Drosophila melanogaster: one gene and its partners. Changing the gene in region 4 together with the main gene of any one other region gives a genetic interaction. Each region holds a gene or a part of one and is shown on either strand. Other genes may lie near its edges. The genes, in order: Ire1, Acn, Hsp27 and Atg7.

The links.
Region 1: of Atg7 (region 4) and Ire1, changing one suppresses a phenotype caused by changing the other (phenotypic suppression), as found in Drosophila melanogaster (one study listed by BioGRID).
Region 2: of Atg7 (region 4) and Acn, changing one suppresses a phenotype caused by changing the other (phenotypic suppression), as found in Drosophila melanogaster (one study listed by BioGRID).
Region 3: of Atg7 (region 4) and Hsp27, changing one suppresses a phenotype caused by changing the other (phenotypic suppression), as found in Drosophila melanogaster (one study listed by BioGRID).

What each region holds. Positions count from the first base shown.
Region 1 is NT_033777.3:19,855,291-19,862,876, forward strand, and holds the start of Ire1 (Inositol-requiring enzyme-1), read right to left. Parts: upstream 6,002-7,586; 5' UTR 5,725-6,001; coding exon 5,596-5,724; intron 5,472-5,595; coding exon 5,357-5,471; intron 2,395-5,356; coding exon 1,951-2,394; intron 1,893-1,950; coding exon 1,670-1,892; intron 1,613-1,669; coding exon 343-1,612; intron 256-342; coding exon 91-255; intron 29-90; coding exon 1-28. Other genes in the region: Mrm2 (mitochondrial rRNA methyltransferase 2), read left to right, coding at 6,353-7,105; CG4572 (uncharacterized protein), read right to left, coding at 7,432-7,586.
Region 2 is NT_033779.5:19,043,613-19,049,317, forward strand, and holds Acn (acinus), read left to right. Parts: upstream 1-1,742; 5' UTR 1,743-1,954; coding exon 1,955-3,435; intron 3,436-3,539; coding exon 3,540-3,750; intron 3,751-3,807; coding exon 3,808-4,042; intron 4,043-4,103; coding exon 4,104-4,213; intron 4,214-4,301; coding exon 4,302-4,484; 3' UTR 4,485-5,205; downstream 5,206-5,705. Other genes in the region: Ttc19 (tetratricopeptide repeat domain 19), read right to left, coding at 8-271, 324-471, 542-705, 758-1,291; CG10470 (uncharacterized protein), read left to right, coding at 5,563-5,623, 5,675-5,705.
Region 3 is NT_037436.4:9,382,193-9,386,196, forward strand, and holds Hsp27 (heat shock protein 27), read left to right. Parts: upstream 1-1,870; 5' UTR 1,871-1,993; coding exon 1,994-2,635; 3' UTR 2,636-3,502; downstream 3,503-4,004. Other genes in the region: Hsp23 (heat shock protein 23), read left to right, coding at 1-366.
Region 4 is NT_033778.4:18,619,963-18,626,841, reverse strand, and holds Atg7 (Autophagy-related 7), read left to right. Parts: upstream 1-1,797; 5' UTR 1,798-1,882; coding exon 1,883-2,079; intron 2,080-2,135; coding exon 2,136-2,657; intron 2,658-2,714; coding exon 2,715-2,927; intron 2,928-3,058; coding exon 3,059-3,203; intron 3,204-3,264; coding exon 3,265-3,612; intron 3,613-3,672; coding exon 3,673-3,837; intron 3,838-3,855; exon of another isoform or gene 3,856-3,911; coding exon of another isoform or gene 3,912-4,197; intron 4,198-4,253; coding exon of another isoform or gene 4,254-4,841; intron 4,842-4,958; coding exon of another isoform or gene 4,959-5,050; exon of another isoform or gene 5,051-5,301; intron 5,302-5,509; coding exon 5,510-5,803; intron 5,804-5,886; coding exon 5,887-6,003; intron 6,004-6,067; coding exon 6,068-6,121; 3' UTR 6,122-6,376; downstream 6,377-6,879. Other genes in the region: Sec6 (secretory 6), read right to left, coding at 1-462, 528-1,499; CG5335 (uncharacterized protein), read right to left, coding at 3,912-4,197, 4,254-4,841, 4,959-5,050.

The DNA of each region.
Region 1 (7,586 bases), on a different chromosome or scaffold from region 4:
TATCCGATATTAATTGCTCAGCAAGGATCTTTAAAATAAAATGAAGTAATTAGAACAACTAGCTATAACTTTTTGGTGAAGATAACCTACAATTCGGCTGTCCTCACTGTCGTCCTCTGGGCGCAGCTTGGCCAGATTGTATTCGTGGGAGAGTATGTTGGCCTGTCGCTTCAGATTGTCACCAAAGGCGTGGTGACCGCCACTTAAAACATAATAATAAACGCAGCCCAAGGAAAATATATCCACAGCAGTTGTCTGTAAATAATTGAAAGACATCGATTTTAGAAAGTTCTTGTGATGGTGAAGAAGTAGTGTAGGGTAATAATAAAAATCATGTCGTACCGTTCGCTGTGATCTCATCATTTCTGGGGCTATCCATCCATCGGTGCCTGTTACACCCGATCGGCGTGAGAAACTAGTCTTGCCAAAATTCAGCTTCTTGCACAGCCCAAAATCGGAGATCATGACACGTACTTTGCCCTTGGCGTCTGGCAGAGAAATAAGAACATTTTGCGGCTTAATGTCGCGATGCACAATGTCGAGAGAGTGAAGATGACTAAGTCCAGATGCAGCCTGGCTCAACACTTGCCAAACATCGATGTGATTTTGAAGTTCCAGCGAGCGATCTCCTTCGGTGTAGTCCTGCAGAGTGGCCGCGCACAGCTCGACGGCTATGTAGCGGAACTGGCGATCCTGTTCGGTGCAGAAGTAGCGCACCACATTTTCGTGCGCGTCCGATTCTCGCAATAGGGCCACCTCGCGATCAGCAAAGGTGAAGCATTCGGGCAGCAGCCGTTTTACGGCTACGAAACGTTCCTCGAATGTGCCCTTAAAGACAAAAGTACCCTCGCAGCCCTTTCCCAGCACTTCATTTGTGCTGAAGCTGATCTTGCCCACACGCACTTGTCCATTACCCAAGTCCACTAGGTCTTCAGCGTTCGCATTGCTACCATTGCTGCCAGTGCTTCCATTGGATCCATTTTGGGCTATGGCAAAGGTTTTTGAACCATTCTCGCTCTGCTTTTGCAGCTCCCTCATTGTGCTGCAGGTGTACCAGAACAAGGCAATCATACCCAGAACGATAACAATTAGAATCTGATGCACCTTTCCGCTAGGATGCTCCATAAACCACTCGTTGATAAAGGCCTGCACCTTATTGCTGTTCTGCAGTATTATTGTCTTCGTCCGATTAATGGTGTTCCCATTCGTCCGCTGATCAATGCCAATTTCGACCAGCTCGGGATCCGTTTGCACGCCAATGTCGGCGGCGTTCTTTTCATTATTGGCCAACAGGCCGTAGCCATCGTTATAGTTGTGAATGGTGGCCAGACTTTGAACCACCTTGCTGCTGGCTGTCGTCGGTGACAGCTGCAGGTTACCATTACCCTCATTGGGCATGTTGTAGTGTCCCAACATAATTCCTGCATGCTCTTGCAGCACATCGTTAATGTAAATGGTGCGCGGATCTGTCTCTTGGTTGCTGTTCTGGTCTCCTGTAGGTCCATCCAGGAGTTTTATAGGTGGTGCTGTGGAAATACGAGGCGTGTTCTTGTCCACCAGCGAAGGCAGGGCATACAAGCCCTTTTGATGTTCGCCCACATAAAGGGATTGGCTGTTGAAAATATTACAATTAATATGGAATTCAGGACGAATATCGTATGTCCCTTACAATAGCTTCACGGTGTTCACATTTCCTGTTTTCGACTCCTCGAGGATGGCCTGGTAAGCCTCATCAGAGACCGTGGTGAATGGCACACTGAGTAGCCCGTCTGGTCCCAAAAGGAATGCAGCCACCACTGGGCTGCTCAGATCGCGCTGCCACAGAAATTTACCGTGTTTTCGATCCAGAGTCACAATTTGTCCATTGGTGGTGGTGGTCAGATGTATATACTCTGCGTGCGGGAGATCATAAGCAAATGTGTACACTCTTATATTATGAGATGCACTTACCATATTCCTTGGCCAGCTCAGGAGGAGCACTCACAGCATTGTAGTCGTAAAATGTGATATTCCATGGCTTAGCATCCTTGTTCTTAGCCAGGCTGTCGTACATCATGACCGTGTACTGAGTCCGGCCTAGATAGATGGCCCGCGAAGTGGCCCAGCCGATCTGCTCGCCCTCCTTACCATCCACTGTGGCATCGCCAAAGCCCATAACCTTTTCGCGTCTGCCCGTCTTAGGATCCACCATATACCAGGTGTCGCTCTTTTTCCCTGAGTACAGGATTCCATCGGAGGAACGACAGGGAGCATTGGCCACCAGTTGGGGAATGGTGTACGGTAACTTCTTAAGACTGCCCATCTGACCCAGCTGGTAAATGCTGCCATCTCGAGGATCGGGCAGAAAGTGCGGAACCTGAACATTCTCCTGATGTTCTGCTACTATAGGAGGATCTAAAAGAAATACAATTATAGCTTAAAAGTAAAATCATAAAAGAAAAACAAAGTAATAAACATGATTGCAAATTCGAAATCGTGATAAAGTCCGATTCCTTTGCATCCATGTAAAAGCACAATATATGCAAAATCACACAAAATGTATTCCGAGTGGTGTTAAACTTTCAAATCGCATACTGCATCGAATTCATTACAAGTTGTTTTGTTACGACAAGATAACCTAATATATATATACTCCGCGCCAAAAACACATTTGACTAGCCGGCAATAACAATATTTTTAGTTTTATTTTGCTTCTTTTTATTTCCTTTTATTACCCAGTATTAACTAGTAATGAACATTTCATGTCTATTTTTGACGAATTTTAAAAAATCCCACTGTTATCAATTAAAAATTTTAGTTTAAGCAGAAATTTCTGAATTCCAGATTATTATTCAATACTCAGCTTTAGTTAGCAAGTATACTTATTATTATTATCTTTTCAATTTAGAGTGATGAACCCCTTTTGCAGTAAATTATTTTAAGTGTGCACAGTAAACAAATTCCAATAAAAAGTTCCTGATATCGGTGCAACTAACGTGGAGTAAAGTAAGGGAAATATAATAAATTATAACCAGAACCTGTTCTCGATAACGCTTATCTCCTGATGTATGTACATACTTATACCGATGGGAACGAAAATGTAATCTATACATTAACCCCATCCCAAGCGGAGAGCACATTTTCTGGTGCACATTAAAGAACGTGAACACTTTCCACCAAAAGGCCCGAATAAATTAAGCGGCTTTTTGGCGCGGCAGACAAAGCCAAAGCAAACAGCAGTTGGGTAAATACGAAATAGACCTGGGGGACCCATGGCTGGCTGATCAAATCCAAAGTGTTTACGCCAGTCGTGTTGGCAATTTCTTTCTGTTATCGCCAACAATTCGCGCGAGGCAACAGCGTTAAATTCTGACTTTGTCGAATGCAAATGGAGACCATCATCGCATGCACGATATTGACGAAATGGTTTAAACAAAACTCAAGTATTGCCAGGAAAGATGGTCGTCAACCAATATCGAGTAATGAAACCAAACAATTCGATGTACTGTCCATTCTTATCAATAATTAGTTGCAACCCCAAAAACATTCCCGGCATTAACCGAATGTTGCCGCAATTTCTGGGGCAGGTCATTTAACTCGCCGCAGCACTTTCATTAGCATGAGCATTCTAATTGCCTAGCGGTAGTCGTAGACAAAACCTGATTCCGTCTCGTGATGAGGTAATAGAACCTAACAAATCGGTACACCGATCTGCTGTGCTAGAGCCGGCGAAACAGTGTAATTACCGCGAATCAAAAACATATTATTGGCTTGAATGACTCGGAAAAATACTGCCCAAATAGTGCGCTCTGCCATGAAACCGCTAGTCAGATGCTGTCCACATGTTTGTCTCCCTGAATTTTCAATCATTTGCAGTTCCACGAAGCCCGGCGACAAGCGGGCAGCATGAAATTTCTAATAATACGAATGGACATACATGTGTATTGCAGCTATCACATAAAATAATCTTCACGGGGCGTGGGTTTTTTATTTCAGAAATTAAACAAACATGTGGAGGGCGTATTGTCCACAGAGAGTCATTTGGCATAACTCCAATACTTAGTTGGGGAGTAATTAAAGGAAGTTCTTGAGGCATTACTTATCAGGCGAATATGAATGCTCTGAAGTGGAAAATCAATCAACAAAGCCAGTGAAAATAAAAATAGCACCAGGTTTATAAGCAATATTCGATAATTCGAATTGAAAATGCCCTCACTTTTTAATTAGATAAGTGAAGCCCCATTTTAGTGATCTATTGAATGCTATACACATTAAACAAACATAATAATACTAATGGTAGCCAACAAGTGCACCAATTCAAACGAAAGCTATGCACATTAACCCCTTTAATCGCGCAATTTACTAACATCTTTCTCCTGGTGACTCATTTATATATGCCAGCTAATCTCAGAGGTTAATACGAAGCAGCCAAATGACCACAAGATTAACGCACTTGAGAGCCACCGAAAATCAATACGTCACGCTGAGAAATTATGGGAATATTCAATGAACCGAATGGAAAATGGCTCAAAGTCCCAACCACCCACTGCGGAAAGGGTATGGGGGAACAGCAACTGGTGATATGGCGCACTGGCTGGCAACTTAATTGGTGGAATTGTGTGCCGAGAACGCTTGTCGAGATTGCGCTAGACGCGGGACCTTATCAGGCCCGCAGCACAATACACAACATTAATGGCGAGAGTGAAAATAATAGAGCACGAAAGGCGGTGGAAAGATCTATCCTAGGCTCTTACATCTGGCAGATACGAAATCTGCGATGAGCTCATCGAGCGCATGCATGTGCTACGCATTTCGCACTTCAAACGGCGAGTGCAACAGCCTGGTGAAGTGGCAATTTTCCAGGAGGGGTGGTGACAGCATGGGAATAAATATATATATATAGCTAGATCTCTTAAGATCTTTAAATCTACTATGCAAATAAAGCGGCAATTTCCCTAAAAAAAAAAGACTCCTAGATTTAGCTTAAAACAACAATAAACGCAAATAAAACGATTTAAATTTAGCTGTTAAATGGTCTAAAGAAACATTCTCACATTTCAATGAGCAAAACAATAAACAAAACAAAAATATTCTTAATGTGGCATTCGGTAACAATTAAATTTTCCTGACTTTGCATTTATGAAAGATCTTAGTGCTTCCAGTTCGAATGTTTTCAATAACAAAACCATATTGTTTTTTTATCTTTAAAGTATTTAGATACCTAAAAACACCCATTTCCCGAGATATATGCTGGAAAATTCCCACTTTTGATAATAAGGACCCTTCTTTGCCCATCATATGTTTCGAGTCCCACACTTGTGGCCGGAAAATAGGGGTGCAGTGAGTGTGGAGGACAGCGGAGTGCCCGCGTAATTACCATCTGCTATTGTCCAGCGTATTTCGCTGGTCACCGGATCGATGGCTGTCAGTCCGCCGCCCAGTGTGGAGAACACCATCAGCGCCTCCTCGTCGCGGGCGAGGTCCGTGCAGTCCTGCGGGTTGTGGAAGAGCGAGAGAAACTTATGAACAACATATCGGGCAAGGTGATGAAATATTCATTGGTAGTCCAGTGTTAGCCCTTAGTGGGTCATACGGCCCAGTGCCGCCCCCACTTACCGTCTTCTCATCCTCGCCGCTGCTGACGACTTCTGCCGAGTCGCCCTGTTGTGATTTTGCTGTAGCTGATGCAATAAGCCCGCTGGCCAGCAAAAATAACACGCAACAAACAACAACGCAGAATCTCATTTTGTTTTTGCAACCGGTAGGGCGCGGGGCGGGGGTATTAGAAGAGAAAAGAGAGCGAAAGAGAGAGGGAACTAGTTACTGCTATTTCCGATCCGTATTCAGTTTGCACGTTTAGTCAGTTTTCGTTTCTTGTTTGTGGCATATTATCGCCTCTTTTTCAAAACTTTTCAATCATCAAACACTGTTGCAGCTCTGGCCGTGCTAAATTTCACATTTTCTTCGCACTCGCGTTCAATATTTTCCAATTACGTTCGCCATTGTTGAGTTGAGAGTTCGTCGAGTGAGCGGAGTAGAGTGACAGTGGGCAGATAATTGGGAAAAGACCGTACTGGTTTGAAGTGTGACCAGGGAGCACGCAACGAGCCAAATATGCAACGAAATAATATCCCATTCACACTGACGCTTGAGATGGCAGCAATGGAAATCTTATTGTTACCCATCGCTGTTGCCATAAAATCAATTTAAATGTGAAAAGATCTTTTTATTCCAACATGGATAAAATTGTAACATATACGTGGTAATATAATGTGAGCTTTGGAGTTTCTGCGCTTGCAGTGTAAACTTCCCAGAACTTGTATTGACTTTGGTCGATAAAAATCGATAGGCGATCTAATTTCGATATTACACAATGCGTCTTGTTTTTACGGGTAATTGTGTTTTTAAACGCCTGCTGCACACGGAAATAGGCGGAAAGTATGCCAAACAGCAGCCGCGGAACCTCAAAGGACGGAGCAAGAGCTCCCAGGAGTGGCTTACGCGCCAACTGGCGGATCCGTACGTGGAGAAGGCCCGCATGATGAACTATCGCTGCCGGAGTGCCTTCAAATTACTGGAGATCGACGACAAATACGGAATACTGCGGCCCGGAGACACAGTTTTGGAATGCGGAGCTGCTCCTGGCAGCTGGACCCAGGTGGCCGTGGAGCGGACCAATGCCAACGGAAAGCAGGAGCGGGCGCCACAGGGAGCCGTCTTTAGCATCGACCTGTTGCATTTCCATGCTGTGCCGGGTGCCACAATCTTTGGCGGCATGGATTTCACTTCTTCGCTGGCACAAAAGCGGCTGAGGGAAGCGTTACAAGACAGAAAGGTCAACTGCGTGCTGTCCGATATGGCACCCAATGCCACCGGAGTGAGGATGCTGGACCAGGAGAGCATCACTAACCTCTGCTACGAGGTGCTGCGCTTTGCCCTGGCCATGTCTGCTCCGCAGGCCCATCTGGTGGTCAAGGTGTGGGATAATGGCGACGTGCCCAAGCTGGAGCGAGATATGCTTAGGTTTTATGAGAAAGTGAAGAGAGTAAAACCGCGCGCTAGCCGCGGAGACTCCGCCGAGCACTTCCTGGTGGCCAGGAACTTTAAAGGAGCAACGGATAGTTAATTATTAACTGCGTTTTTTGGACTAGTTGAATTAAAAGCTTTGTTAATTGACTGTAGCTTATATTGGATAGAATAACTAAAGGGAAGTAACCTAGGATTAATTTCATCTCAACATTTTTGTTGATTTTCTTTTTGATGTTTTAATCTTTGTTGTTATATACAGTTCTGTAACAAATTATATGAATTTAGTTGAGTATTAACAACCCAATGCTCTCATCAACATATTTATGCATTCAAAACTCACACCAAATTATTCATGATTAATTTTAAAAACAAAGGCTTAAATTTGGTCTCCAAATTGTACTGAATAGTTTAAGTACGCATTTCCTAGTGCTTGTAATGAGTAAGGTGATCAATCATCATGTACAGCCACTTGGGCTGATCGTGAGGAGCCATGTGCCCGGCATTGCGGACCATGATCTCCACAAGATGTCCGGCGTGCTTGACATAGCCGGCCACTTCCTTCCCAACGCGCCACACTT
Region 2 (5,705 bases), on a different chromosome or scaffold from region 4:
AGAATCCTCACTGGCGCTTCTCTCCATTCAGGGTTGTCTTTATCTCGTTGAGACAATACTCGGCCTGCTCTACGGCATCGGGATTCTGGTGTTGCTTTCCCAGTTTCCACGCCAGTCGGCAAGCGTTCTCCGCCTGCGACATCAGGCCCTCGCGAAGATACACCAAACCCAGATTTGCCTGCAGAATGCCTTCCTGGGTGGCATCCTTTAGCTCCTTAGTCAGCTCCATGGCCTCCAAAAGGGTCTCCCTTGCCTCGGCGTACTTTTCCAGCTGTAATTAGTCTAATGTGTTTCAAGTACTTTGGAAGAATAGACGCACCTACGTTTACGTACGCCACACTGATGTTATTTAGGATGGTTACAGAGGCGTCGTTAACGGCACCATAAACATTTATGAGCGTGTCGAAGGCCTCCTTAAAGAGGTTTTTAGCCTCCAGGTATTTTCCCTGCTTCATCAGCAGCTGCCCGAACCTGGAAAATAAACATAAGGAAAAGTATTGAAAAAAGGCTTGGTTAGCGGCAATGGAAACACCTTCAATACCAATTCTTTGTCAAGCCATACAGCTCCAGTATGTCCTTGTCGTCGGGCATTTTCTCCAGTAGCTTAGCCAACTGCTGCAAGGTCCAAGTGAACCCTTGAAAGCTCTTTTCCAGATCCCCTTGCAGCTGAGACATGTGTGCTATCTTGGAGCTGATGTGAAGTATCTAAAGATGAAAGAGATCTTAACTGGTTATGGTGTCTAAGTGGGTCACCCACCTTGGGACTCTCTTCGGTGTGACCCTCGGCAAAAAGCCGTTTCATAACGTCCGTGAATATCTTCTCCGCCTTCTTAAACTGCTCGCGTTCCATGGCCAAATTGGCCATCAGATCAAACACATATGTGATGCCGTCCTTGCTCTGAATATCCTGCGCCATTCGCAGAGCCAGGTGAAGCATTTGCTCGGCCTTGTCGTACTGTTCCCTCTGAATGCACAGGATTGATCGTTTGATGGTCTTGATCAGTTTTTCCTCCGGAGTTTCCTCTTTTTCGTCGGCGCCACCAAACAGATTCAGAGTGAAAGCAGCGGAAAATGCCCAAAACATTCCACCGGAAGAGCCAGAAGCGGGCGGAGCTGCCCAGGACACCTCGTAGCCCGCAGCATTGGAGCACAGCGGTCGACATCCGAATTCTGACCGTTGGTGATAACGGCTTCTCTTCAGCGGCGCAAGATGACAGTAATCTCTGGGATTCACGACAACGCGGAACCTGCCCATAACTTGCGTAAACTTGCAAATATTTCTCACTAACATGTTTAGGGCTTTATTAATTATTTAACTAAAACCTATAATGTTGCAGGTATGGTATTAAAAATTATGAAATAGCACGTATGTAGTGTTGCAAAGCGCGGTAAAGACGTTTTAAAAGTACATTTCGTAACGCTTGATTAAGAACATAGAAGACTTTTAAATAATTTCTACTCTATCATACTTTCGCAAATATATTTATGTTTCGTTAAGATTTCGTAAACAAAGGTTTTTAAATTTTTTAGAGATGACACTGTCAAACAAAACTTTATCGGCAACTTTGGTACCTAACATTTCGTTCATAAGTTAAATCTGCGAACAAAAATAAATTGATAAGTAGAGTTATTAACAATCTCGAATAAAAAACATTTAAGTACATTTGATAAAGTTTTTCGTAATAAGGTACTTCCTTCCCCCATCGCATACGATACTATCGATAGCCGTCAGCGGGGCGATAGACCGAGAGAAAGCATCCCTGTATATTGATGGCGGATTGACGCTCTTTCGCCTAGTAAAATTATTTTTCTTATCAAGAAAAGGTGCAGAATATAACGAGGAGTGAATTCGCAAAGCAGTGCATGAAATAGCTGTGGGTCCGCCGGCTGTACCTACGTTTTATTTCAGATCTTTCCAGCGTCGCAGCGAGTTTCCAGCGATTTTCGGACAGCCATGAGACGTCGCAGCGAGCGAAAAAAGTCGTCGTCGCCCGCTCCGGTGCCGGTGGCAGTTGCACGGAGAAGTCGCCGCTCCCGCAAGGTGTCGGAGAACGAGAAGACCGAGGTCGAGACTCCGGTCGTGGCCCAAAATAATGAGGCCGAATGCCCCAAAGTACCGCCAGCCTCTCAAGAAATCAATGAGGCGCGGGCATCCAGTGAAGAACGTGCCGGATCTGGAGCATCGCCAGTGCGCAGGAGTCGCGGCAGCCGGACGACGCCTAGAAAGCGCACGGAGTCCAAGGGCGGCGACAAGAAGGTGGACACCATACCCGAGGAGGAGCCGGAGAATGGAAAGGATGTTGAAAAGGACGCTGTCGAGGAGGAAAAGACTGTAGCGCCACCCGCGGCTAATGAGAGCGAGTCCGAGGACCGTGCCAAGACGGAGGATCAGCAGGCTCAAGACGATGAATCCTGTGCTGAACCCGCTGTAGTCAAGGATGATGATGTTGAGAAAGAGGACTTAAAACCGCAGCAGGAGGTCCCCACTTCCACTGATGATGACACCAAGCAGAGCGAGCCAGAACAAGAGGTAAAGGTTCCTTCTCCTTCCAGCAAGGATGAGGAACATCTAAAAACGACTAGTGATGTATTAGACATTCAGACAGAAGAGGTCGATGAAAGGGACGAAGAAGCCTCCGCTCCTGCGGAGCGCAGAGAAACCAAGAAGAGGCACAAGGAGCAGATAAAGGAACAGCAACCCGCAGAGGAGGAGGAACACAAGGAAAACCACAAGCAGATAGACGAAAACCCAGAACAAATTCACGATGAACCAGCAGATCTTTCGAACGACAAGCACGATCCATGTCTAAACAGCAGCGCAACCAACACAACCGGTGCTCCAGTTCTGCAGCAACAACGGTCGGTGCGGAAGCGAAAGTGGCTGACTAACAAAAAGTCTTCGGATCGTACCCCGCCCGTGCTTGCCATTTCGACGGATTCCCTGAAGAACATTATAGCCGATGTGGTGCAGCCAGTGCCCCTAAGCGATGTGCAACTGGAATCGTCCTCAGAGGAGGAAGGCCTGGTCACCAGCGATCGCGATTCAGAGCGATCTGCTTCACCGGCGCCCCCATCTGAAGCAAGCAAAGACCGCGATAACAAGGGCAATACCGCCAACACCTGCGACACCACCGCAGAGGCGTCGGCAGATAATGAAGGAGCAGGAGCCGCTCCTCCAGCAGCAGCAGACACGGTTTCAGCCCAGGTCAGCCTGAGCAAAGCCACAGTTTCCACGGCAGCACCACACATAGTCCGTGACCCTAGTCCTGCTCGAAACCGCGCCAGCCACGTGCTCTATATCACCAATTTGGTACGCCCCTTCACAGTGCTGCAGCTGAAAGGCCTGCTGGCGCGGACGGGAAAGATCGTTGAGGAAGATGGTTTCTGGATAGATCGGATCAAGTCTAAGTGCTATGTTGCCTATTCCACTGAAGAGTAAGTATTGTAGTTGCGCAAATAGAACCTAATCTCCAGGGAGTCAGTGAAATATGCCTATAAAAAACTCACACTTGCAATTATTTTGCTTTTCAACCTTTAAGCGAGGCCATCGAAACCCGACATGCCCTGCACGGAGTTCGCTGGCCAGTGTCAAATCCCAAATGTTTGAATGTAGATTTTGGCAGTCGCACTGATATGGATCGGGCAATACTTTCAACGAAGGACGAGGCTCCGAGGTACGGGCAGGAAAACACCAGAGATAACCAGCAGTCGGGCAACGCTTGGTCCCGGTTGGAACCGTCTGACAAAAAAGTAATGGATTATTATCACAGCATAGAAATGCGGAGCTAACTTGTCTTTTTCCTTCAGCCTGCGCGACCTGTACGCGAATGGGATGTTGGCAAAAAGGAACCAAGCGACCACGACAAACACAGCAACGACAGGCGTCGGGACAGCAAGGATCGACTGGACTCGAGGTCTAGGGATGCGGAGCGAGCCGGACAGGAACGAAAGCGTTCTAGGGACAGAGAGGGGCGAGGACGCGATCGGGAGCGGGAGCGACTTGATCGCAATGCACATGCAAGGAGCCGCAGTGGATCGCCAGGTAAAGCCCGTGGGATACATTTTCCTGTCATGAGAAATTCAAAAACACCCCGTTTAAATAGCGTCCAAAACTAAGAAGGAGAATGAACCGCCTATCAGACTACTAGATGATCTATTTCGAAAAACCAAGGGAACACCTTGCATATACTGGCTGCCACTTACGCCGGAAGCGGTAAGTTGCTGAGATAAATAGTTCCAATCAACGAGAATCACTTCTAGACCAAGTCCGCCTGAACAATAAAATTTCTTCCGGCTTTCAGATCGCAGAAAAGGAGGCATTCCGTCAGAAACGCATTGAGGAGCACAAGCTGCGTATTAAGGAACGGGAGGAGCGCCAGAAAGAGCGGGAGAAGGATCGTGACCGCCAGCGCGAGACGCGTCGCAATCGTTCCAACGAACGGCGACGATCTCGCAGTCGCGAGCGGGAGCGAAGACGTTACTAGGCGGAGGCTTGAGATTGAGCAAATAAATGTTGATATCTCAAAAACTAAATCAACATATAAAAAAAAACTTCAAGAAACAGCAACTAAAACTTCAGCAGGGTCTCATCACCACCCGAATAATTTCAATTCTTTTCTTTCGAGCGTTTTGCGTTCCCAATTAGGCCGACGTTTGTAATATTCAACTTGAACTGAACCGACTTCAAATTGAATACTTTCGCCAACGTCTCATCCACATTCTGATTTTGAGATTTCAAACTCTCTTTTCTTCGTTATTTTTCTCATTGTTGTTGTTCCATATATATATAGCATATATATTTCCATATATATATATATAACCTGATTTGATTTCTTTCCTCAAATGTAGCATTTTACAGCGCCTAACGTCACCTCACCCCAAAACGAAACCACAGCAACCAGAAATGCGCCGGCATCAGATCAGCATCAACGCCATGGAAACTTACCATCGGACTCTTGAAACTACTGCAGCAAGTTACCATGCTTATATCTATTCAATAAACAAACATAAAATAATTGATTAAAATATTGTAAAATCAAATATTTCTTAAAATTTTAATGAACTTAGAAATACAATTTAACATCAGTCGGCAAGCTTGTGACAATGCCAAAACCCAAAAATGTGTTTTAAATGTCTGAGAAATATGCTTATCGCACGACTTATTCGAACAGAAAAAGAAAAGAATGTAATTCCTCAAAATTATAGAAAATGTTTTTGATTCGTAAGAATCATGGTATTTAGAGCATATTATTATAATTTTAATACTCTTTAATTTATATATAAGGTCAGATTTATAAAGTATGAACTTTTTGCCATTTATTTACTTTTCCTTATCAATTTTTAGTAAAAACACTGCTTTTATTAATAATCGCGAGTCTAATTTATTGATTAAACTTAAAAAAGAATAAATGAAGTTGTCCGTTAAAGTACCAGAATACCCCCAACAATAAGTTCGTTTTAATCGATAGTCCATGTTAATAAGCTATCGGAGCCGCTTAATGATTTATGTCAATAGTGCTATCGATGAGTTTTAATTTGTATTAACATTAATTTAGTGAAAAAATGTGGTCCGACACAATATTAATTGTTTTTATATCGGTTTGCACCGCCTTCCTGGGCGAAGGTAAGTAAAACGCCAGTTAATTTAGTTAACCCTACATATTTGTTTGCCTAGGTCTTACATGGGTGATGGTTTACCGGACGGA
Region 3 (4,004 bases), on a different chromosome or scaffold from region 4:
ATCGGAAAGGATGGCTTCCAGGTCTGCATGGATGTGTCGCACTTCAAGCCCAGCGAACTGGTGGTCAAAGTGCAGGACAACTCCGTCCTGGTGGAGGGCAACCATGAGGAGCGCGAAGATGACCATGGCTTCATCACTCGTCACTTTGTCCGCCGCTATGCTCTGCCACCCGGTTATGAGGCTGATAAGGTGGCCTCCACCTTGTCCTCCGATGGTGTCCTGACCATCAAGGTGCCCAAGCCACCGGCAATCGAGGATAAGGGCAACGAGCGCATCGTTCAGATCCAGCAGGTGGGACCCGCCCATCTCAATGTGAAGGAGAATCCCAAGGAGGCGGTGGAGCAGGACAATGGCAACGATAAGTAGAGGACTCGTTCCGAGAGATGCCCTGCATTATTTAACCATTATCAAAGTCATACATCTGTTTTATAAGCTGTAGTTATCCAAGGACACTTCACTCATACACAATAGCCATTAAGGGTGTCCTGCTTTAATCTTAGTTTGGAATATGTATTACTAAATTGGCGAAATTAATATTACCCATAAAAATAAATAACAAGTACACTTACTTATAATTGTGTTTGGTCTGTTTTTCTGGTTGGTTATGGGTTACTATTACTATTACTTTGGGAATTGTTTGGCTAGCTTGGCCCTTTTTCCTGTGATCCCGGTTTCTAGAATTTACTTTCTGCATTGTATATTGCATTGTTGTGTCACGTAAAATGGCATTTTTATTTAATTGTTGTTTGTGTACATAACTGACTTTTTACATTACTTCGGTAAAGAGACTTGAAGCTATGAATGTAAGGAACTTCAGTCAAGGTTAAATCCTTATGTAAAGCATGCATAAGTACATCATGTACATACATACGTACATAAGAATATACATCCCTTTTCACTCTCTTCTTTTTAATGAATTTCTGTCATCTCTACAAGAGATGTACGTTATGTACGTCCTTATAGCACGTACCTATGTACATGTATAAATTGAACTTCATTTTTGTATGTTACCGCAAATAATTACGTGCATGCACACATACACATACATATGTATGTATGCATGTAGTTTTGAAAATAATTATGTATTTTGGTTAACTGGTGAACCAAGAATAAAAAGATTCTATATACACATATACATATATATAGAAATGTATGCATATGTACATATAATAATCGAAACACTTGCAACAGACTGGCAATGATTTGCAAAATTTTCAATTGCCCCGTTTCCCACTTCGCGAAGCAGTGGCGAAAGCAACTGCAAAAATGTTTGCAACAAACAAAAGAACGGCAAACATGAGGAGCAGAACGAAGCGAGACAAGGGTTCAATGCACTTGTCCAATGAAAATACAAGCTCTGTTGCACTCTGAAAAGACAGCTTTTAAAAGAGCGATAAGAGAAGAAAATGCTTTAAATAAATACATATATCTGCATATATACGTACATGTACATACATATGTATGTACTGCATTTTAACTGTTCGTTTTGCTTTTTATTCGCAAAGAGAAACTCCCCAGAAAAGAAATGTCAAGAAGTTTCTGGTTCTTTCTCCCTCTCTCTATGAAAAGCCGGCTGTGCTAGAAAGAGCCAGAAGATGCGAGAGAAAACTGTTTGTTGAATTACGGGGCGTATTCAAAGGGGCTTTTAAATGTCGCTTAAATTTTAAGTTTGACAGGCTAATAATTGCTTGCCTATATCTAAATATTATTATATTTGCATTAGGGGATCATAGGGAAAACCTTCTCTGCAGGCAAAATCTAACGAAGATGGCAACCCCCCATCATTTTATTAAAGTTCCGTCCCTGGTTGCCATGCACTAGTGTGTGTGAGCCCAGCGTCAGTATAAAAGCCGGCGTCAACGTCGCCCGAGCACAGTCTAAACTGAAAAATTGAAGGCAAACGTTGAAGCAAACTTCGCTAAAAAAATTCGAAAAAGCAAAAAAAATTCCTTTGTCTAGACAGGGTTGTGAATAAAGAGAAAAAAAATCAAAAATGTCAATTATACCACTGCTGCACTTGGCCCGGGAGTTGGATCATGACTACCGCACCGACTGGGGGCATTTGCTGGAGGATGACTTCGGTTTTGGCGTCCATGCCCACGATCTGTTCCATCCGCGTCGCCTGCTACTGCCCAACACCCTGGGACTGGGTCGTCGTCGTTATTCGCCGTACGAGAGGAGCCATGGCCACCACAATCAAATGTCACGTCGCGCGTCGGGGGGTCCAAACGCTCTGCTGCCCGCCGTGGGCAAAGATGGCTTCCAGGTGTGCATGGATGTGTCGCAGTTCAAGCCCAACGAGCTGACCGTCAAGGTGGTGGACAACACCGTGGTGGTAGAGGGGAAGCACGAGGAGCGCGAGGACGGCCATGGAATGATCCAGCGTCACTTTGTGCGCAAGTATACCCTGCCCAAGGGCTTTGACCCCAACGAGGTAGTGTCCACTGTCTCATCCGACGGTGTGCTGACCCTCAAGGCCCCGCCGCCGCCCAGCAAGGAACAGGCCAAGTCGGAGCGCATTGTCCAGATCCAGCAAACGGGGCCTGCCCATTTGAGCGTCAAGGCACCGGCACCCGAGGCTGGCGATGGAAAAGCCGAAAATGGCAGCGGCGAGAAAATGGAGACTAGCAAGTAAAAGACGAAAAGAGGAAGACTAGGAGATGAAGAAGACGAGAAGAGGAAGAAGACTAGAAGAGGAAGAAGTCGTGAAGGAGGAAGAAGACGACGAGATTCGCTGGCGAAGCACGAGAGAAAGAAGAATTTAAAAGAAGAAACGGGAGTGTTGCCGCGCTGCTCGGAGAGAGCAAGACTAAAAAGGACACACCACAACACACCCAATGTATTACATTCACACACATCACATCATTACATCATCATCATAACATCCTAGACTAAGTGATTTTAAACTCCATTTATCATAATGCATAAAAAAAACAAAATTTTAGTGTGTATTATTAGGCTAAACAACTGGAGGATTCATTGCTCCCTTTGAGTTTATACTTTTTGTAACAAGAACAGGCGCAACACTCGGGAGAATTTTGCATTTCATTTGTGAATAAACGAATACAATAAATACAAATACACGAAAAGAAGTCAGCTGTCGAGTTTTTGTTGGTTTTTTTTCCTTTTTAGCTTCGAATCTGCAAATGTATTTGCATTTAGGGTAAACCGGCTTTTGTTGGGTGTCGTTAACTTTCAAGGGGTCTTATGTACATATTCTGTTTTCCTTGTCCTTGAATTGGACTTGTGGAAAATTAAATGGTCAGCCAATTGCTTAACCTTTGTCGACGATTGTTATGATGATTTGTAATGATTTTGCACAATTCAGAAATCGATATAAAAAAAAATGGGAAATGATTTTTGTTTTTCAATTACATTTTGACAAACGTCATGCAAATATTTCCAGTTCCGCGCACACTGAAAGAAAATCCAAGATAAGAACGACATTTAAATAATTTAATCAATTGTTTGCACATATTTATTTAAATATTTAATACATAATAAAAAATTTAGTTGCCCGTTCTGATTTCATATTGGTTGTTTTATGCTCGTAACTTGTAGCGATCATAAGTATTTACTGTTAATTCTATATCTATATCTAAAACGGCTTTCATTCATATTTCTCAGCTGGGTGTTGAGATACGGATATATCTCAGTTTTCTCGGCTCCGTGGAGCTTTCGCTGTTAACCGCGAAAAAGCTTTTAGTGGTTGTCATGTTGCTGTTGTTGGTTTTATCTTAGTTGATGTTAAGTAAAAATGTATTTTATGTATTTTTCTGCATTTTCTACGGCTGCGGCTGCTGTCAATATGTTTTTGCTTGCATTTATGCACGTTATGTATGTATATTCAATGACGCTTAATCACAGATCAATTTTTTAAAATTTCATTTGACTTAGAAGTTAAGAAACAAAACACATCCGAAGCACGAGAGAAAGAAGAATTTAAAAGAAGAAACGGGAGTGTTGCCGCGCTGCTCGGAGAGAGCAAGACTAAAAAGGACACA
Region 4 (6,879 bases):
GCGAAAATGGTGTTCCTTCAGCTCGATTACGTTCTTAAGATATGTCTGGCCAAAGATCTCCACCTGCTGAATGCTCATTACCAACGCCTTGAACGTCAGTTCCTGATGAATTGTGTTGGTCACCTGCAGATGCTGGTCGATCATCTGGAATATGATGACAGGCGCTGAAGTGTGGTAGTACTCCTCATCCTGATCGGGCACCGTCTCAGTAAACCACTCCTGCTTCTCCGTTTCTGCGGCCTTGGTCATCCATTCCTGGAAGTTTCTCTGCATATTTTGCAGATATTCATCTTCCAGCGCTTTGAGATGTTCCGGACGCAGCAGAGTACCTATCTGTCGGTGTACATCCACATTAAGATCCGGATGGGACATCAGCTCGACGCCAGGATAGGTGTGTGTAACCCAAGCCATCATTGATACATATTCATTGCCCTCCAAGCCCGAGCGCACAATGTTGTCAAGCTGGAATTAGTAAATATTAGTGGTATAAAAACATTAATCAATTTAAATGATTGACGATTACTCACATAGCTAGAAAGTCCTTCGTGATAGAACTTGACATATTCGCCGAAAATGTCGTAGTGCGGCGGGAAGCAGGGCACACAAAGGGACTTCACAACGCGCAGATCCTCGAGAATGATTTGACGCAATATCTCCAGGTCTCGTACTAACCACATCTTGTTATCGGCCCGCTCCTCTAGCTTGGATCCCTCTATGCGCGTTATCACCGACTGTTGTAGCACGTCCATGATCATGCGGCGCCAAGCCTTTGGTCTTCCAGGCGGCAGGAATCCTGTGACCTTTTGCTGCTGCAACGCGAACTGGTCGTTTTTCTCTTCCCGCTCTATGATGCGTAGGGCGGTAACGATGATGGTGGGCTTCTTGCGCAGAGTGTTCAGCGTGCGGCTAAGAATGAGTCGCAGCTTTTTCTCCAGCTCTTGGGATACCGTGTCAACCTTCTCGAAGTGACGCTTTAGGGTGATCTTGTCGGACGCATGCTGCTTGGGCTGCTTGTGCAGTTCGTAGAGAAGATCATCCCGCGAATTCTCCAGATCCGCCAGGCACTGATGGGCATTAAGCAGCTTATCATCCTCGATCAGCGCCATCGTCTTTTGTACGCTGGCATCTACGTTGAAGATGTGCTTCAGATTCTCCATGGCGGTGGCGTACTGGGAGTGCTTTGTGTTTTCCTCCCGCACAACTTCCAAAGCGTCGTAGACTTCGGGAACGCCCCTCAGCAGGCGCTCCACCTCGTCCATTCGACGCCTTACCTCGCGCACGTCCTGCATGCAGGTCTCCAACTGCTTAAGTCCCACCCTGACCCCGTCCAGCTGTCCTTGCATTCCGGTCTTAAGGAGCGCCTCAACGGATGCCTTCTTCCGGGCGATTCGGTGGCGATATTGTTCCACCTTCTCCAGTTGACCTGGTCGCTGCAACATGTTCTGTATGTCCTTGAGCGCTGCCTGGCGAGCCTGCTCCTCCAGCTGCTGTAAATCCATCTTCAATTTATTTGGATCACTTTCAGTCTCTGTTTTGGTCAATCTTCGTCAGCAGTGGAAGTGCTGGTGTGACCATATAGCAGTGCGGCTGACAATCTCACTTCCAAGAACTACAGTGTAACTTGACAATAAGCTATATTCTACTCTTAAAATTATTATAGTTTTATTGTGTCTTAAAATTTTTATTTTATTCTTCAAGCTTAAAAAATTATGAAGTTAAAGTATATCTTTTAGTTTGCCAAAGCAACAGAGGATTCGACCTAAGTATGGAAAACTGTACTTATCGATAAGTTATCTTCTCATTGGTCTATCGCCATCGAGAGCTTTGTTTGTTTATAATTTGCAGCCAAACGTTTGAACGTAAACAACGCCCTAAGCAAAACATGAGCACGGAAAAAGAGATAATTTTGCAATTTGCTCCGTGGGAATCTTTTGTGTCGCCCACTTTCTGGCACAAGCTAGCGGAGCTTAAGCTCGACCACGATCGCCTGTCCGACTCGAAACGCTCCATTACTGGACACTACACAAATCGTAATGCAAGTGGATGCCTTTTGGAAGTAGACTACACGGCCTACAACAGGTGAGCTTGAAAACTACGAGTTTGATGAAACCAGCGCTTGACCACCCACATTCCAGAATGGCAAAGCCTCCAAAATTCAGCCATTCCGCTATAGGCACCATCTACAATAAGAACACAATCGAAGAGTTCAAGGCCCTGGACAAATTACAACTGCTGGCCGATGAGGGCAAGGAACTGCTGGCTGATATGTGCAGTGGTGGCGCCTTGAGAGATCCCAGTCTATTGACCCGGTTCTTTGTTCTCTCCTTTGCCGATTTAAAGTGTCACAGCTACTACTATTGGTTCGCCTTTCCGTGCCCGCTGACGCCCACCTTAAAGCTTCAGGGAGCCGTCCAAAAACTGCGGGACTTGCCCAATAGTAGTAGCTATATAATGGCTCTAAAGGCCTTACCCACTGAGTCACAGAACTTCTTCATTCTGTATGCTAATGTGGAGAAGAACATTTTCGAAGCCCGTAGTTTAAGTTCCCTTGACGATAAAAATGTTGAGTTCTGTTATTTTGGTTTTGCTGATCCCAGCGAGTATGAGCATCCAGCTTGGATAATGCGAAACTATGCTGCCTTTCTGCTTCAGCAATGGTAGGTAGGAATAGCAATGTTATGATATCAGTTCACACAGTTGTCGGTCTATTACAGTCCCTCTTTTGTTGGAAAACCATTGAAGTTTCTTGGCCTGCGACACAATCAACAAATGAACATCGATGACAGCCTTGTATGGAAGGTGATTCAGACTGAAGCTTGCGATCTTAGCCAAAGCGAAAATATAAAGTTCGTGGGCTGGGAGCTAAATAAAAATGGCAAAATGGGGCCAAGAATGGTGTGCATGAGGGACAGCATGGATCCAGCCAAGTAAGTTAATAGCTATAGACTTAAATGATAAGAACTATCAGTTCATTGAGGTGTGTCCTTAGTGTTAGCTACCACGACAGTTGAAAGTAACTTGTTTATTATTTATAATTTAACAATATTTCTTTCCGTAGACTCGCTGAGAACTCTGTAAACCTGAACCTGAAACTAATGAAGTGGCGCCTTGTTCCCGATCTCAATCTCGAAATCATCTCCCAAACAAAATGCCTGCTCTTTGGAGCTGGTACTTTAGGATGCGCTGTAGCTAGAAATCTGCTGGTGTGCTTTTATACGAAATGATTTAACTGATCTGATAACTAATAGTTTATTTATTTTGTAGTCCTGGGGATTTAAGCACATAACCCTTTTGGACAGCGGCAAGGTTGGGTTCTCTAATCCAGTGCGTCAGAATCTCTACACGCATGCAGATGCTGTGGCAGGCAATCGGATGAAGGCGACTACAGCTGCTCAGAGATTGAAAGAGATCAATCCGTCTGCGGAAACGGCGGGTTATGTGCTGGAGATTCCCATGCCTGGGCATACTATTGGAGAATCGCTTCTAGCCCAGACGAAGGAGCATTTGAAGGTTATCGAAAAGCTTGTGCAGGACCATGATGTCATCTTTCTGCTCACAGATTCGCGCGAAAGCCGCTGGCTGCCCACCCTGCTTGGAGCGGCAAAGGAAAAAGTGGGAACAATCATATACTCACCTTTCAGAAGAGATGTACCTAAAATGTTTCCCTTATAGATTGTCATCAACGCAGCTTTAGGCTTTGACAGTTATCTGGTAATGCGACATGGCACTACGCGTAAGGAAGCAGGCGACGATGGCCAAGAAATCGAAGGACTTAAGTGCATTAATGGCGATCAATTAGGTTGCTACTTTTGTAACGATGTTACGGCCCCTGGAAATGTAAGTCCCATTTGTTGTATAGTTTAAGATAACATTTGTATTTTCAGACTTCATTAGTTGGGTTAACATGGTTACTAAACGCATTCGTAATCATGGCGGGAATATTTTTCGAAGCCAGCGCACGTAGGATCCCCCGTCTGCAGGTGATCCACACCAGTTATCTGCACTACCAGGCCATTTATGCTGGTCACCTTGAAACCCACTAGATTCATCATGGCATTAGGTGTGCGCCAGGTGTAGCTGAAGAAGTTATAACCGTCCACTGCAGTCAAAACCTCGCGTTCCGTAAACGCAAGCGCCAGCTTGAATTGCTGGTTAAAGACGAAGGGGAAACCTCCATGACGCTCCTCGCTTCCGAATCTATAAAAAGAATTAGTTAACGCCCAAAGAGGTACGGCATTATAAAGTTAACTTACTCAAAATTTTTGTTCATGGAATTGCGCACTACTGCCTTCTCATCGAAACGCACACTGAAGTGTAGCTCTTCGCGCTTGGTATCCGAGTCCATGAACTTGATTATGAACTGTCCCTTTTTATTCTCGAAACACCGAGCTGTAAGGACAATCACATGGCCCGGACTAAACAAAATTGGCTGATCGTTACTGAACGCCTTAAAGTAGTCCGAGGCGTGAACGGCTGGCCACGGATTTGGAAACACAGTACGATGATCCACCTGTTTAATGACTTGGATCTGATCACGGATCTCCAGAGCACGAATCGTTCCCAACGGCATGCGGTAGCGGAATCTGCAGAACTCTCGGCTATTTATCGAGATGGCAAAGCTGTCCTCGCAACAAAGAATGTAGACCAAAAAGAACTCGCCACTGACGATGGGATTGGGCAGGGTGTTGGGGTCCATGACATGGGACTCCTCCTCGCCCCAGGCGCCGTTTATCCGGGAATTTCGAACGATCACATCGTTCCGAAAATAGCATGAGAAGCGTAGCCCAATATCTGCGTTCGGATCGACCGTGCTCTTGGCCGTGCAGAGGTTAATGTGGAACCTATCCGAACCAAATGATCACAATCGATTAGTCACGTACTGATAAGAAGCCCAATTTGACAAGTAATTAGTCAGAAAACGGAAAAGCGGTCTTACATTAATGCCGGACAACACTTACCTGGCTGCTCCATCGATGGTCTTGGCCACGACCTCCAGAACATGACCAAACTCCAGCGGATGCGATAGATTGCCAGCGAATTCGGTCAACATGATTCCTTCCTGCAATTACCAATTCAACTAACTATCGCCTTTGTACTGAACAATCAAGCGCAAAATGTGTTTTATAGTTCCGTGGGAGAGTCCGGAGTTCTCCGGCTCTCCCAAATGTTAAAACTTTATCTAATCAGTGATGGGCGGAGCGGCGGGTTGCTCAAGTAACCGATACAAACGCCGAAGTTTTCTATATCTTGTGTTTTTGGTTTTTAAGCGCTGCTATTTGTTTTGTTCTCGCCCGAAGGCGTCATCTTTGTTTGCTCGGAGCATGTGTTTGTGGACACAGAAAAGCTTTCAAAAGCTCTTGATCGTACTACTGCACCGGCGTCGAATGTGCTCCAAATCACACTGAAAAAAACTCTGTATAAAAAAATCTCTTATAGACTCGCTTTATAAAGTTGTACGTACAAATTTGGATACAGATACTCATTGCATTTCGTTCTATTCCATTTTCAGTCGCTCAAAGACCGAACTTTGGATCAACAGTGCACAGTGACACGACCCGGAGTATCCAACATTGCGGCCAGCTATGCGGTGGAATTGTTGGTGGCTTTGCTGCAGCATCCTCGTAAGGAGCTGGCACCCGCCTACTATGCACAGAGTGGGCGTGGCAGGTCGGAGGAGACGGAAGAAAAGGTGCCGGAGGGTCTGCTAGGAATTTTGCCTCACTCCATCCGTGGAATGCTGTGCAACTACGAGAATATTCTGCCCGCCACTCAAAAGTTTGCTCAGTGCATAGCCTGTTCAGCGGTAAGATTTGACAATCTTTTAAAATGGTTTTGATAGCGTTTTCAATATTGTTAAAATTTTTTTTTTAATATATTCGCTTACAGGCCGTCCTAAATGAATATAAAAAAGAGGGTCATGCTTTCCTGTTTAAAACTTTTGAAACAGCCAAGTTTCTGGAGGATTTGACGGGAATCTCCGAATTCAAGCGGTTAAACAGCGAGGTTTGTTTGTTTCCTGTGTTTAATCTAATGGAGATATTTAAAAATTATTCATATTTTTGCACAGATTATCGATTTTGATGATGAAGAATTTGACATGTCCGATAGCGACGAGGATTAGGTTCCACAAAATTGGTCAAGTTTTATCTTCAAAGCAAAATATCTTAAATATGAAATTCAGCTTATTGTGGCTTTAATTTTCTGCAGCATTTATAGTTCAATGTCTATACCAAAAATGTGTGTACTTCAATGCTTTTATTCTATCTAGTCGTTAAGCAAATTGTGAATCATTCAAATGAAATTGATGTGAAAATTAGGCATAAGAAAAATGTGAATTTACTATTGAAAATTGTAATAATAAAAGTGTGAATTTACTATTGAAAATTGTTATAATAAAAGTGCTTAAGTACGGGAACAAATGTATTTCCGCCAATTTACAAGTCGCAGCCTTTAAGCTTTGTTTGTTTGTACGAAACGTGTTTCTGCTGATAAGAGCACTCATTTATAGGCGAAAATATTATTCTGATCTGAGAATTCCCATTTTTGTGGTTGACAAATACCAAAATATTGTTTTCAATTCCCGATCGGTCATTGAATATGTTATTAGCTGCATTATTCAAGGCGAAAACACGCAAACAAAGATGAATGTTCGTATAAAATTGTTTTGGGAATATGCAAATGATTTACATAGTGGGCCAGGTATGCGAAAAGAATAGTTCAAAGTTGAATAAACCTGGTTAGAAAGCCACGAACTAATCGCATATGTAAATTTGCTTATTATGTCTCGGTCAAAGTAGATGACATCCTAGAAATACGCTCACAAATGTTATACTTTAAAGAGATATGTAAAGTTAAAACTATATTTTTAGTCCAGGAATA